3 linked regions of the Rattus norvegicus genome follow. The protein of the gene in region 1 interacts with the protein of each later gene in a pairwise test. Links are inferred from orthologs where the notes say so. Each region holds a gene or a part of one and is shown in the gene's direction. Other genes may lie near its edges.

Evidence for each region. The genes of interacting proteins can lie anywhere in the genome.
Region 2: the proteins of Mapk9 (region 1) and Shmt1 interact in binary tests that used the Homo sapiens proteins (3 or more experiments, as listed by UniProt). The two-hybrid records come from large-scale screens. The link is inferred for Rattus norvegicus from reciprocal best matches to the Homo sapiens genes MAPK9 and SHMT1.
Region 3: the proteins of Mapk9 (region 1) and Wdr62 interact in binary tests that used the Homo sapiens proteins (3 or more experiments, as listed by UniProt). The two-hybrid records come from large-scale screens. The link is inferred for Rattus norvegicus from reciprocal best matches to the Homo sapiens genes MAPK9 and WDR62.

The regions. Positions count from the first base shown.
Region 1 is NC_086028.1:34,669,017-34,674,115, forward strand, and holds the start of Mapk9 (mitogen-activated protein kinase 9), read left to right. Parts: upstream 1-1,756; 5' UTR 1,757-1,967; intron 1,968-5,099. UniProt on the Homo sapiens protein: Serine/threonine-protein kinase involved in various processes such as cell proliferation, differentiation, migration, transformation and programmed cell death.
Region 2 is NC_086028.1:45,976,172-45,980,836, reverse strand, and holds part of Shmt1 (serine hydroxymethyltransferase, cytosolic), read left to right. Parts: exon of another isoform or gene 1-151; intron 152-638; coding exon 639-754; intron 755-1,078; coding exon 1,079-1,239; intron 1,240-3,565; coding exon 3,566-3,647; intron 3,648-4,561; coding exon 4,562-4,665. UniProt on the Homo sapiens protein: Interconversion of serine and glycine.
Region 3 is NC_086019.1:94,619,352-94,624,016, reverse strand, and holds part of Wdr62 (WD repeat-containing protein 62), read left to right. Parts: coding exon 1-87; intron 88-472; coding exon 473-538; intron 539-1,075; coding exon 1,076-1,203; intron 1,204-1,505; coding exon 1,506-1,606; intron 1,607-1,914; coding exon 1,915-2,019; intron 2,020-2,189; coding exon 2,190-2,321; intron 2,322-2,628; coding exon 2,629-2,743; intron 2,744-2,865; coding exon 2,866-2,995; intron 2,996-3,073; coding exon 3,074-3,125; intron 3,126-3,248; coding exon 3,249-3,911; intron 3,912-4,427; coding exon 4,428-4,585; intron 4,586-4,665. UniProt on the Homo sapiens protein: Required for cerebral cortical development. Plays a role in neuronal proliferation and migration.

The DNA.
Region 1 (5,099 bases):
ACCGGTGTGGACAGACGCTCACAAAATGAACCTGTCTCAATGCAGCACACTCAGGAACTATGGAGAATTTTAAGCAGGATCAAACCATACGCCCTCTGGTGGCCAACATGGGGGTGGCCAAAGGAAGACTTTGGCGGTTGGGCATTGTTAACTTGACCTAGTCATATGTGAGAAGAGAGACTCTTAACCCAGACAATGCTTCTGTAAGATTGAACTGTAGAAAAGTTTGTAAGGGCATTTTCTTCACTAATGACTGATGTGGGAGGGCCTAGCACACTGAAGGCAGTTCCATCCCTAACTTAATAAGCTGTGTTCTTCCCTTGCTTCTGCTTTGGTTCCTGCCTGCTGGTTCCTGCCTTGAGTGTCCTACTTCCTTCAATGAGGAGTGGCCTGAGAGTTGTAAGCCAAAATAAACCCTTTCATCCCCGAAGTGCTTTCTGGTCATCTTGCTTTGTCACAATATGAAAACAGAATAAAACAGAGATACTGTCTATCCCTTTCTCTATCCCACTTCTCTGTGCCTCCACCCCCCTGGCTCAGTGCTTGAAACCGGAGTCACAGATCTCTTCAAATTCTGCCGAGATTCATGGGGCCTTCTATTCTCCTGATCTTCCTATATGCAGAGCCCGATTCCCTGGCTATTCCTTGGCATCCTACTACAGCTGTACCACTTGTCAACTACTGTCAGCATTTTTCCAATCCCTTATAGGCCAGTCCTCAGCCTAACCTGTTTAGAGCTTTTCCTCAGTGCGTTCAACCTCTCTTGTCTCACTTGCAGTCTTTCGATCAAAGCTCAGAGTAGTCAGAACCCTAAATTCTGTGCTTTCCAAACGTCTTATTCACCTCAGACCTTCTGGAACCTATTTGAGAGACAGAGGGCTGTAGGAGCGTCAACAAAAGCAGCAGTGTCAAAGACCGCTGTATAGAAGCCCTTCAGCATTGGAATGACGCCCTCCTCATCCCTCTACACCAAAGCAGAAACTTGTTCCTTACAACAGTCCTCTTTAGGTCACACCCCGCCAATCCCCTCACTGACTCACCAGCGTCATGGTCACCGTTTCTCCAGCCCCCACCCTCTGGACATCTGGCTGCATCCTTGTTATGAGCCCACTCAGTGTGGCTTACGCAGCGCATCCGCCTTAGTGAACAACAAACCCCAAGGCTCTGTGGCTTGTCCTCCCTCCTCCTCCCGGGCCGTTATACTCCAGGTTCCCAATCTTGCCCAGGTCTCCTGTCTAACCCGGTTGTTTCCAGTCCTTTTACCCCCTTTTTTTCCCAGGGGAGAGCACGAACGATTATGCAGTCGAGTTTCCAGCATTTGGAGAAATCGCAGGGCCGCCTCTCCACTTGCACCTGCTGCAACAGAGCCTGACTAGGCTCCTACACTGTAGCAAAGTCACGCTTCGCCCCTCCCCAGCTCTCGCTCCTCTTGGCCCACCCTCTCCGGCGCATGCGGGTCCCCTGGCCCTGGAAGGCGGGCTCAGGAGCTGGTCCTAGATTGACTTGGATCCCTAGTCCTCTGCGCACATTGGCAGACGCGCTTATAGCAAGCAGACGGCCAGGCGGGGAGCCGCCTAGGGGGCGCCACTTTGCACTAGGGTATCCAGAGCGCGCCACTGGCCTCGCCCACACCAACCCTCAGCCACGCCCTTACTGCCCAGCCTTGGCCCACCCCCAGTCTCGATTGGCCCCGCCTGCCTAGATATCCTTGTTCTGATTGGCTGGCCTGAGAATCCGTCAGACTGAGCGCGGCGGCGGCGGCGGCGGCGGCGGCAGCTGCGGAGCTGAAGGGAACCCGACCGGAAGGGTCGCTGCGCCCCGCGCCCCTCACACCCACTGCGGCGGCGACGGGGCGGAGCAGAGCGGGGCGGGGCGGCCGGGTCCGGGTCCTGGAGCTGGGAGCCGCCAGAACGCATCGCCGCCAGCGTGCCCTCCCTCTGCCTCCGGCGCGGCGGCGCGGAGCCGAGGTGAGCCCGGCGGGCGGCTAGGCCTGGCGGGGCTGCTCGGGCCGCGAAGGCCTGGGGTGCGGGGGGTGGGCTGCTCGGCACTGCCTGGCTTTCCACGGTTCCGCAGTCGTTCTCTCTCGCCTGGTGTCTGCTGCCCAGGGCTGCAGGCCGGCTGTCTGGCCCGGGCCCAGCAGACCTGCCCGCAGGAGTCTGTGGGCGCCTTCTCTCCAGCTGTGAGGCATGCTGCTGTACTCCGCTGCATGCCCTGGAGTCTGGGCTCTGATCCCCGCGACCTTGGCGGTGACTCTGACCCTCACTGGCCCTCTGCTTTCCCCTCCGCAGTAGTGGTAAAATGTCTAGGGTTTGGTTGGGGGTTGTTATCGGGCAGTGTAACTGTCTCAAAGCACTAGGGCAGAGAAGCCTAAGGCGCACAGTTGAGGGCGTCCGAGTGGGTAAATGCTCCCTTACTGGCACGAGTGTCGTAGGAACTCTCATCCGCTTAGAGTCCTCCCCCACTTCTCCCCCCAACCCCCGCCCCAGTGCCTTGTCATTCATCTTCAGTGCCCAGCAAAGAGCCAGAGTGGGCCCTGCCCACCTCCTCTGCCACTCCCTTCCCTCCTAACAAGAAGCAGATCTCTGCTCTCCTAGCCTATTCACCTCACCTGCTTTGGACATGCCAAAAATCATTTATTTACCTCAGGACCTTTGCACTTTGACTTTTCCATGTTCGGAGTTGTCTATAAGATTTTCGCCCTGCTGTCTCTTCTCGTATCACTTCCTCCTGTGGTTCAGTGTCTTGTTATTGGCGAGGCCTGCCTTGACCACCCTTTTCCCTCGCTTAGTCATTCCCGTTCATCAGTTTAGTTTTCCTTCCAGCACTGACTCTGGTTTGATGCTATCTGATTTATAGCCCAGTTTTTGTATAGCACTGTGAATACAGGTAGTTGTCTGGTATATTGACTCTCGTCTCTAGAGTCAGATCAGTGAATGAGCAGTAAGACCATCCCTGCCTATTATCTCTGCTTTGTCCATTTTGTTGGTGACTTTTAACTTGTGAAACTTGTAAGCAAACAGACTCTTATTCTCATTTTGTGAAATGTTTTAATGTTTTTAATCTCTTTCTAGCACCTGTCAGAACAATTTGTGATTAAAAAAAATTACATTTTTGCTAAGAGTTTTGCTCGAGCTTCCTTCCACACGTTCAGGAGTTATCTACTGAATTCTGTATTATCTAGGTCATGCTTTCTGCTGGACTCTAAGGACACAAAGGAGATAGCAACAGGGTACCTTCCCCCAGAGAGTCCAGGAGCCCCGTAGACACAGACTGGCAAGCACACAGTTCTAGGACAGGATGTGACACCAGCTGTAGTGAAGGGTCTGTGCCCTAGAAATGGAGGGTGTGGGGTGGGGGTGCTGGAGGGCCTTGAGCAGGGACGGACACAGAAAGTGAAAGGGCAAGATCAACAGGGAACTTTGCTCAGCCTGTGGCCAAGAATTAGCCCTCCGAGGCAAGCGTGGCATTGTGGAGTGCTGGAGACCCCTGGAGGTCCAGAACTTCGTTCAGCCTTTTTTTAAGAGCCAGGATTCCAAGTTTGTATCCGGACTCTGATATTTTAGCGTTGGCAATAGCTAATTAAAACGAGCCATTTGGTGCCCCGCCAAATGCGGACCTCATGCAGCACCGCTAACCTCCTGAGCAGGCAGTGTGGGAGGGAGAAGCTTCGAGGAGCAGGAACAGTAGCCTGAGGCCAGAGGAGCTAGGCCCTGTTCACCCAGATACCAACCAGGTTCCACAGAGGAAGAAATGGAGGCCCACAGTGCTTCAGTAGTCTGCTTCAGCGCAGGCAGCCAGTGAGAACCTGAAACCAGATTGCCCCTCCATCTAAGGTTCTCAGCTCTCTTTGTGTTTGCCTTCCATTAGCCAATCTATAAACGTTTCTCCTCTCCTTTCAGGAGAGTCCTGCATAGTTAAAAATAATTGTTGTTTTGGGGGCATAATCTCTAGAGACCTTTTGCTTTCCTGAGGTTTCAATTTGCAGGGTCTCAGGACTTTATAATTACTCGTTAACAGATGCTTCGCTCTATCCTTTAAATAAATGGCCAGGAGTGTACTTGAATGTGTCAGTTTCAAAAGAAAAAAGGCTTAACCTTCTGTACTAAGAGAAATGCCAAACGGATTAGTTATTAATGAGTGAACCAATTTTTAAAAGCTTATTATATATAGGATAAAACAAAATCTGATTTTAAAAGAAAAGTATTAATTGGTCAGTAGGGCTGCTATTTTTGACTAAATATGAAGTTATCTTTTACACCTGGCTAGGAAGGCGGCAATTTTATTTTAAAAACAATAATTCTTAATGGTTTGTACTTGGCCACCGTGTGAGTTGGATTTCAACAGCAGCGTTTAGTTGTTTGTGATGGGGACTTTCAGATTTGTTATAAAGTGGATGGCTTTACCAGCGTCTACACGTTTTAACTATGGCAGTCTCTTTTCATCCCTGATCTCAGAGCATGTAAACTCTCCTCACGTTGTGTTGAAGCAGATCCTTGACATCCCGTCATTCTGTCCATGAACTTTTTAGTCTATTTCGCTAAAACAAACAAACAAACAAACAAGGTTCTCTTAAAATTTTAAAAGCAGCCATTCTTTCATAGCATCAAGTAACCAGTCAAAACTTGAATATCTAAGTGTCTTGTGTATCTTACAGTTTTTGTAATCATTTGAAGTTTTTGTTGTGATTATTGGTTGATGTCTTTTCAGTTCTCTCTGTTGGCTTTTATCTTTTGGTGCTTATTGTTTTGGGGTTGTACGTTTGTTTCTTCTTTCAGATATGGCTTCCCACTCACTATGTAGCCTCAAATCCACTGTAATCCTCCTCTCTCAGCCTCTCGTGTGCTAGAATTATAGTCAAAAGGCACCACACTCAGCTACATTTCTTTAGTTCGTTGCTTTTCCCTCTTCTGTTTTCCTTGTGTTCACTTGTGGAAGCAGCTGGTGGTTCTGGAGTACCTCCCTGGTTGGTAAAACCCAACCATGATGCCATCTCAGCATTGTAATATAGTTTCTGTTTCCTGAGAAGTATTGGGTGATTCTAGATGACACCCACTGAAACTGAGGGTGGACTCAAGTCACAGTGCCTTCTCAGCTGAGCT
Region 2 (4,665 bases), about 11 Mb from region 1:
CGGAACACTGAGTTTGAGAGGTTTTTGAGCCATCGTGGAGAAGAAGAGCTTCCTTTTGGGACCTTGACTGAAGAAGGTCAGCTGGGTGCTTTCTCTGCCTCTCAGAGCCAGCAGGCTTTCACCCCAGCGTCTGGCTCCTGAGTCTTCATTGGTAAAAATCAAGCAATTGAGTTTTGTTAAAAGCAACAATCAGGCTATCTAGCGATCCATTTATTTAATACCACCATCGGGCTATCTATTTATTTATAACCGTTGTCATCAGGCAAAGAACAAACAGAATCTGACAGTGTTCTGCACATGTGTGCATCTGTTCCAATGGAAACAGGAGGAACATTAAGATTACAGTGCATTCTGTCCTGAGATTCCCTCGTTTCTTTCCCTCCCTTCCTCTTTTTCTTTGGACAGAATCTGTGTGGAGTTCCAGCTGCCCTGGAACTTGTGCTTCTGCCTTCTGGGGCTGAGACTAAGGGTGTGCGCCACCAGCCCTGGCCTTACTACTGATGTTTTACCAGAGCCTCACAGCAACCTTAGAGCAGGACCACTCCCCTCAATATTCTCTGCCTACCCTTGCTTATCTTTGGCCTGTGCTAGGACAGAGTTTGGGCCCAGGTGGATGTGGACCATGCTTCTCTTCACAGGTATTATGGTGGGACTGAGTTCATCGATGAGCTGGAGACGCTGTGTCAGAAGCGTGCATTACAGGCCTACCATCTGGATCCTCAGTGCTGGGGCGTCAATGTCCAGCCTTATTCAGGTGATTGCTGCATCCACACAGACCCTGGGTAGCTCCTTAGGCCTGGTTCTAGGGTATTCCAGTCCCCAGGTCAAATCCTACAGAAGGCTTCTTGTAAATAACAAACAAGCCAATGGAATGTGTGAATCTGTCTCCATTGTGCTTGGATTAGCTCTGCACTCCCTCCCAGGTAGCACTCTGTCCTAGAACTCACTATTAGTGGGACTGGGACAGGGTTGCTTTCCAAAGCTCAGGAAAATCATGGTGATGCCTGCCTAGTAGCCAAGCTCCTAAATGCCACATTGTGTCTCATGGGTAGAAATAGTCATGTCTTCTCTGTTTTAGGCTCCCCTGCAAACTTTGCTGTGTATACTGCCCTAGTAGAGCCCCATGGGCGAATCATGGGTTTGGACCTGCCAGATGGTGGCCATCTGACTCATGGCTTCATGACAGACAAGAAGAAAATCTCTGCCACCTCTATCTTCTTTGAATCCATGCCTTATAAGGTAGGTAGGGGTGTGCACGCACACGCACTCACAGGTGCGTGTAGGGGTCTGGGGGCTCTTCTGTATTAACAGATGAACCAAACAATGAATATAAGGGGTTGGGGGTGTAGCTCAGCACTGCATGCGTGAGGTATTCACCTACCTGACCTTAGAAGGTGGATACAGTGGGTTCAAATGTTCAAGGCCACTTGGAGGGACAGAAAGCCCTGTCTAAAGGAAGGGAAGAGGGATAGGTTTGAGACCTCCCCTGACATGATGACATATGCTTGCTGTCCTAACACTTGGAGGCTAAAGCAGGAGGTTTCTGAGTTTTGAGACCTGAAACTCAGTGAGACTTTGAGTTAAAAAAAAATACTAAAAAAACAAAAGACCTAAGGACTCACATCACCATTATGATAGGACCAATAGTGGGACCTGGAGCTGTCTAGGAGCTCCTGCTGAGGACCTGGGTTCAGTTCTCAGCACTTGCCTAGTGGCTTTTAGGACTGTCTGTAATTGCAATCCCAGGGAATCCCAAACCTGATCTCTACTAGTACCAGGCATGCATGTAGTACACACACACACATGCAGGAGAACACTCAGGCACATACGATGAATAAATCCTAAAGACAGCTGGGTAGGAGACGTGCATATTTCCTGTGGGTTGGCGGTGTGCTCCTCCTGCTGTCCCTCTCGGTTTTACTTACTGTGTAACCGGCTGTCCCTGGTGGTTTTCTGTCTGCCACCATGAAATAGGTGGCAGTGAGTTGTTCTACTCAGCTAAATATTAGGTGCAATTTTCTTTTAAGAAATTTGAGGGGGTTGGGGATTTAGCTCAGTGGTACAGTGCTTGCAAGCGCAAGGCCCTGGGTTCGGTCCCCAGCTCCAGAAAAAAAAAAAAAAAATTTGAGGGCGGGCAAGATGACTAAGCAGGACAAGGTACTTGCCACCAAGCCTGGTGACCTGAATTCACTTGGTAAAGCCAATGCCTGTAAGTTGCTGTCTGACCTCTGCATGTGCACCAGGTACTCAGGCGCCCAAACATGAACAAATACATAAATGTGATGTATCCTATTGACTGTTAAGTCAGCCAAGTCTCAGCTGTAATAGCTCTATGTGCATGCAAGTGAATCTGTTTTGTGTGGACAGCCTGAGGTTTTTTTTCTTTTTTTTTTTCTTTTTTCTTTTTTTTCGGAGCTGGGGACTGAACCCCACTGAGCTAAATCCCCAACCCCCAGCCTGAGGTTTTATATCACATTTCCTCTGTAGCCTTTGATGAGATGTTGGCCAGCTTCATGCTGTCTTTACTCCATGAAGCCCATTCCTGAGCTTCGGTGCCCAGTTTTTCTCAAGCGCTGTCCTTGCTGCAGCACTTTGGCCATGACAGATAGACCCTGTGGTGGCCTGTCACAGGGGGACATGAGCTGGCTTGGGTCCTGTGAGCACAGGCCCTTCCTTTGTGGCCTCTCTCCGCAGCTCTTCTGTCTTTCACTTCAGCCCCTCCCCAGCTCCACTGGGCCAGGTGTTTCCTTTTCTAAAGAGTGAACCTCTGGAGAGAGCTCTGTGAGCAACATTAACCTTCTGCCACTGTGTTTCTAGCTCACATCTCATATGTGCTTCCATTCCCTTCTGAAAATGGAGACTCCCTCCCTCTCTTTGGTCCTCTTCTACTTGGTGGCCTCTGCCCTGCCAGAAGAAGCGCTGGCCTTGCTGGCCTCCGCACGCTGCTGGGTGGTTTGTCTTTGTTGGTGGGTGTTTGTTTTAAGGTAGATTTTTAATTTACATGTATGAGATTGTTCCTGAGTGCATGTTTACACGTGTGTGTGTGTGTGTGTGTGTGTGTGTGTGTGTGTACATACGTACGTCTGTCACGTGTGTCTCTGGTGCTTGAAGATCTCAGAAGAGGGCATCCGGTTGACTGGAACTGCAGACAGTTGTGTTCATCTGTGTGGGTGCTGTGAGGCAAACCTGTGTCCTCTCGAGAACAGCAAGTGCTCTTCCTCTGGAGCCACTTCTCCAGCCTGTCTGTTGTTTTGATTAGTGTCTCATGCTGTAGCCCAGGCTGCTGAGTAGCTTAGATTACAGGCTTGTGCAAGCAGGCTTGGCTGTGTCTTTCTCATTTTCCTAGGCTCTTTGTTCTATAATATGGGGCAGTACCCAGGGCTAAGGCTTCCCTTTATCCTGAGGCCCCTCTGAGAGCTCCCAAGTCTGCATATTTGGCCCTTTATATCCTTGGACAGGCTGAATGCAGTGCCCTGTCTCAGGCCCCAGTCCAAGTTGTGGCAGATTAAAGGTCTCAGGTGGCTGGACAGGGGAAGCAGCCATACCTTTGTCTTGGTCCCGACAGGTATACCCAGACACTGGGTACATCAACTATGACCAGCTAGAGGAGAATGCCAGCCTCTTCCACCCGAAGCTGATCATTGCAGGTGAGCGGCAAGTGGGAAACAGCCTGGTTCCTGGGCAGGGAGGGCCTCTGCCTCCTACAGAAAAGGATATAAAGACATCTGATCCTTCAGCTCACTGTGGAGAGCTCAGGACATTAGCTTGAGACATATTCTGTCCTTTTTAAGACTTGAGTTGTAAGGAGCTAATCTTCAAGGCAGACCTGCCGTCTTCATGAGGTCAGCTATGCCTGCTTGCCTGGGTGTGTCTTGTTTGTGGATTGGGCTCATGGTTAGTTGACATTTGTCCTCCTAAAAGGAGGGAGCTTGAAGGGTCATTGAACCTTCTTCACCTGAGTGTCAGGCCACTTCTCCCAGTCCTCTGCTCTGAGTGCCTCCATGAGAGGCCTGAGTATGTAGGCTGGGGAAGACCAGGGAGAGGGAGCCTTCTACATAGAGCTGTGGAGAGGCCATCACACTGTGAGGACCTTCCAGTGCAGCCGCATTTGCTTCACCTACACTTTAGTCACAAGCCTCTCAACCCGTAAGTAATCCCAGTAAGCTCATTGGTTTCCCCGGGTCAACTTGGACTTTAGTTTGTTAGTGGATCATTTGGGAGAAGGCTGACACTGTTCACATCCCTCCCAGGAAAGAAATTTACCAACAGTCATCGACAGTAGGTCAGTGGGTCATACCTTAGGCTTTTCTTAACATGTTTCTAAACACAAAGATGGTTTTGTTTTATTTGATTGATTGAATGTTTTAAGACTGGCCTCTGCCTTCCAAGTGCAGGGATTAAAGACGTGCACCACCACACTCAGCTCAGGGATGGGTTTGAGGGCACACTACACATCTGTCCTCAAAGATTAGGGTAAGCTCTCCTTGCAGATATGTACACTCAGAAACCAACTCAGCTGCCTTGGACATCTTTGACACTCCCATGTCATCTCTTGTCCCAGGGACCAGCTGCTACTCCCGGAACCTGGACTATGCGCGGCTGCGAAAGATTGCGGATGATAATGGGGCATATCTCATGGCAGACATGGCACACATCAGTGGGCTC
Region 3 (4,665 bases), on another chromosome or scaffold:
TACTTTACACCCATGAAGCCTGGAAATCTTGAAGACTCTGTTCTGGACTCAGTAGAGCCACAAAACCTGGCAGGCCTGCTAAGTGAGGTACAGCCAGTCCCCCAAGCCCACCAGCCGTCCCCTGTACTGTGGCTGCTCACTTGGGTGAGGAGAGTGAGTCACAGAATGGTGGAGGGCAAACAAGCAATCTTTGGGAGTGGGTCACTCAGAGGCTTGACCAAGCTCTTCAAGCTTGGGCCCCAGGATAGACTTCTCTTCTAAATGGGGAGCGCTCAAGTGGGTGAACCCTAGATTAGCCCCTCCCTGCCTCTGACCTGAGGTAAGAGGCTTGCCTCTCTTGTCTTAGTTTTCCAAATAATGGTTCTATTGCCTCAGAGGACTCACAGATGCAGGGCTCGGACCTTACTCTTCCTTCCTCGGGGGCAGTCCTTTCCCATGCTCATGCATACATTTCCTCTTTGCTGTGGTACAGTGCTCACCAGAGAATGGACACACGGCCCCGGGAGAAGGCCTGGTGAGCTACCTTTGTCACTCAGAGGTACTTGCCACCTACATCCCCACAGAGCATGTTCTACCTCCTGACCCAGAGTCAGTACCCACGCACCCCACTGAGGGAGCCCATGTTCTCACTTCTCATGAACTGGTTTGCCTGATTTGTTGTGTTTTGAGACAGTCTGATCGTGTAACTCTGGCTAGACAGGAACTCATTACATAGACTAGGCTGGCCGTGAGCTCAGAGACCGTCTGTCTCTGACTCTGGATGCTGGGGCCTTGTGTGTGTGCCGCTGAGCCTGTCCGGTTAGTGCTTTGCTTATTCTTGGTTGTCCTGTAAACAGACAGAGGTTAGGCCTCCTCTGGCCTTAGGCCAGACTATACCTTATCTATAAAGGGGCTGCTTTTGCCAACATCGGGGAGGAGGTCTGGCCAAGGGCTGACTTCACACTGTCTCTGATGTGGTGTCTGGCAGTGGTGTCCGTGGGGTCACTCCTCTGCCACTTGTGCATAACCGCTGGCAGCATTCAAGGACCTGGGATGAATCTGGCTACCTCAGAATGGCTCTGCTCTTCACTCCTAGTCAGGGAGCCCCAAAGAAGACAGCCGAGGACACCCCTCCTACCTGCCTCTACAGAGGGAAGGCACTGAGACAAGAGAACTCATCCTCTGCTCCCCAGAGGTGGAAGTGACAGTTACAGGGATGCACAGGTGAATGTCCTATGCACCACAGGGAGCCGTAGTTGCAGAGAGGGGGCCCTGGTGAGAGGCCCTACCTGGAAAAACTGTTCTCCCAGTGGCTTGTGTGAGTGGACATGGGAGAGTTGAGAGGCTCTCTCAGACAGACTCAGCTGCAGCCTCATTTTCCTTGGTTCAGTCCTGGGTTGGATGAGGGGTTTTGTTTGGAGGCAGGAGAGGCTGGGGTGTGCTCTGGGAGCAGGGTGTGGGCCTCATGGTTGCGGGCAAGGCCAGCTCTTCATTGCCTGTATAACCCCACCCTGACGGTGTTGCAGGGAGTATTATGAGGAGGCAGAGGCAGGACCTGAGGACCAGCAAGGCGATTCCTATCTCAGGGTCTCCTCCGTCAGTTCAAAGGATCAGAGCCCTCCTGAGGGTGAGTGGGGAGCAACCAGGCACCCTCATGGTCTGCAATGGCCTCTGGGCACTGGTAGAGGCCGTGATCCAGTTTTCTGATGTTGATAATGCCACAGAAAACAAAGGCGTTCCTGCCATTACCTGAGTATGCTAAGCCACTCGCTGAGCACCCAGCTCTGCCCCTGCTTGATTGGGGGACTTTGCTGGACCATAGAATGTAGGGGATACATATAGATCACCCCATCCTCCAGATGGGAAACAAATTCCGAAGCCTCTGGAGTGGGCCGTCTCCCCCGGGCAGGCTCCTGACACCCCCTCTCCCTTCAGACTCAGGGGAATCAGAGGCTGAACTGGAGTGCAGCTTTGCTGCCGCCCATGTCTCAGCTCCTCGAACGGACCCTGGCCCTCACCTCACCATGACAGGTAAGCCAGGTAAAGGTTCCTATCAGCCCTGAGCCTCAGTTTCCTCAATGGAAGACTGCCATTTCCTTCTCAGCCTGGTAGCAACCAGGAATGTGGCAGGCAAGTCTGGATTTCTCCATTGTCAAGCGTCGCCTGCTGTGACTCAGTGCTGACAACTCTCCACCCTGCCTCCCATCCAGAGCACTCAAGTACAGACGAGCTTGCCCAGCCTGGGGTGCCGGGCTTGGGCAATGGCTCCTTACCCCAGACGCCTGAGCAGGAGAAGTTCCTCCGCCACCATTTTGAGACTCTTACTGATGCCCCTGCTGAAGGTAGGACCTGACTTGCACCCTGGTGTGTGTGTGTGTGTGTGTGTGTGTGTGTGTGTGTGTGTGTGTGTGTGTGTGTGTGTGTGTCTGTCTGTCTGTCTGTCTGTCTGTCTGTCTGTCTGTCTTGCACCCTGGTGTCCTGGTGTGTGTATGTGTCTGTCTAGTGCCAGGCACAGTGTGGGTGTTCTTGAGCAGTCTTCCATGGTCAGGTGGTGAAAGATGGGTAAGAGAGCAGACAGTTTGGCCCCTCCATTCATACCTAAGGCATCTGAGATGTCAGCAGCCTGAGGGCCTATGGGTGTCTTCCTAGAGCTCTTTCCTGGATCACTGGGAGACATAAAGATCTCAGAGACTGATGACTATTTCTTCAATCCCCGGCTGAGCATCTCCACACAGTTCCTCTCCCGCCTCCAGAAGACCTCCAGGTAGAAGCTAGAAACTACCTATGCTCCCCTCTTTCTACCCCAGTCCCAGGTAGAAACACCCCCTCAGTTACCCTAGGATAAGGTTATGTGAGCGTGCCTTTCCCACCTGGCTTCCTCCCCAGGTTCCCTCCCCGGCTGCCCCTGCACCTTATGAAGTCTCCAGAGGTTCAGCCTGTGGGCCAAGGGGGCAACCAGCCCAAAGCAGGGCCCCTGAGAGCAGGTACTGGCTACATGTCCTCAGATGGGACCAATGTGAGTATTGGGGTCACTCTCTCAGGACACAGGGCTGCAAGCCAGGAGGCCTTCTCTTACCAAGAGCTGTGCTTGCAGGTCCTCTCTGGGCAGATGGCTGAAGAGACTCCAGAGGCCTCGTGTCTACCAAGTAAGTCTCCCTAATCCTAGAGGAACAGCCCTGGGTACCCAGCAGAGCCATGGGAGTGTCTGTTCAGATTTGAAACTTTTTTAGGAGGCAGGGGTGCAAGTGAACCATCTACTTCTTTTACAGCCCCTCCCATCACAGGCCTGGCATCCTGTGTCCCTCCTTCCTCAGTGATACCCACAGACAGGAAGCCTCCAACACCCACGTCTGGACTGACCACAGGCCGGGAGCAGAGTATTCCCGCCCCATCTCCGTGTTCTTACCTGGAGTCCACAACAAGCTCACATGCCAAGATGACTCGCAGCACCTCTCTCGGGGACAGTGAGGGCCCTGTGACAGGCGAGCTACCCAGGCCACTCCACAAGCCCGTATCCCCCGGCCAGGAACCCCAGGCTGTTCCCACTACAGTAGCACTCACTTCTAGTGTCAAAGGCCATGAGCCTGCACTGCCTGCTTGGGGCAACCATGAGGCCCGAGCCAGCCTGAGACTGACCTTATCCAGTGTCTGTGAGCAGCTCCTCTCTCCACCGCAACTGGAGCCACCCACCACACCTGTGTGGTCTCAGGAAGCTGTGGATGTCCCACCTAGTATGGCAGTCACAGTAGCCAGCTTCTCAGCACCCAGCCCTGAAGACATGAGCACCCTGGGACTCCACAGTTCTGTGTTTCTTCCAAAGACCTCAGCCTCTGGGCCCCTCACCCCTCCTGCCCACCCCAACAGCCTCCAACTTCTAGAGACCAGGTCTAGGATGCCTGGCAGCACCCCTGCTCTCCTGGAGCCCACTCCTGGTGAGTACTGCCCTTGGGAGGCGGCTAGAGCCTTAGCCTGTCCCCTGTGCTGCTTGACTCACCTCCCCAAGTGGGACATCAGCCTGGCCACTGGGGAGGGCCAGGTTCACTCGTTCACCCATCCATTCCCTCATTTACATAGTCGGTGAGCACATGCTGGCCTTTGTTCCAGCTCCTGCTCCTGCATACATGAGACACAGTAGCAAACAGCAAAGGTTGATTCCTACCCTAGGGGAGAAGCCCAGACAAAAACCTTAAGTGTCAAGCATATCATGGTGATAGAAGCTAGTGAGAACAATAAGAGAAGGGCCGGCAGTGCAGCTTAAGTTTCAGGGTGGCAGCAAAAGGTTTTAGGGGATAGGTAACGGCCAGCAGAACCCTATGGGAAAGAGGAGCCTAGGGGCCGGAGACAGTGGTCCAGGACAAGCAGTCTTTTAGCCTGGCCAGCCACCTGGCTTGTCTTGGGCCATCTAGAAAGTCAAAGTATCCTAGCCATTTACTCCTCTCTACGCCTAGATGCATCGAGTGGGAGCCCAGACAGCCCTGGACACTGTGGGGAGCCTGGGCGCCGAGCTGAAGTCCCACCCCCAGGACCCCTTGAGCTAGACAGTGTGGAATCAGTCTTGTACAGGCTGCAGACTGCCTTCCAAGAAGCCCTTGACCTTTACCGAATGGTAAGCCAAGGAGCCCAGGGCAGGGTGGGACAGTGGAGAGGGCTCCCTGACACAACCTGGATGTCCTCTAACAAGTTTGC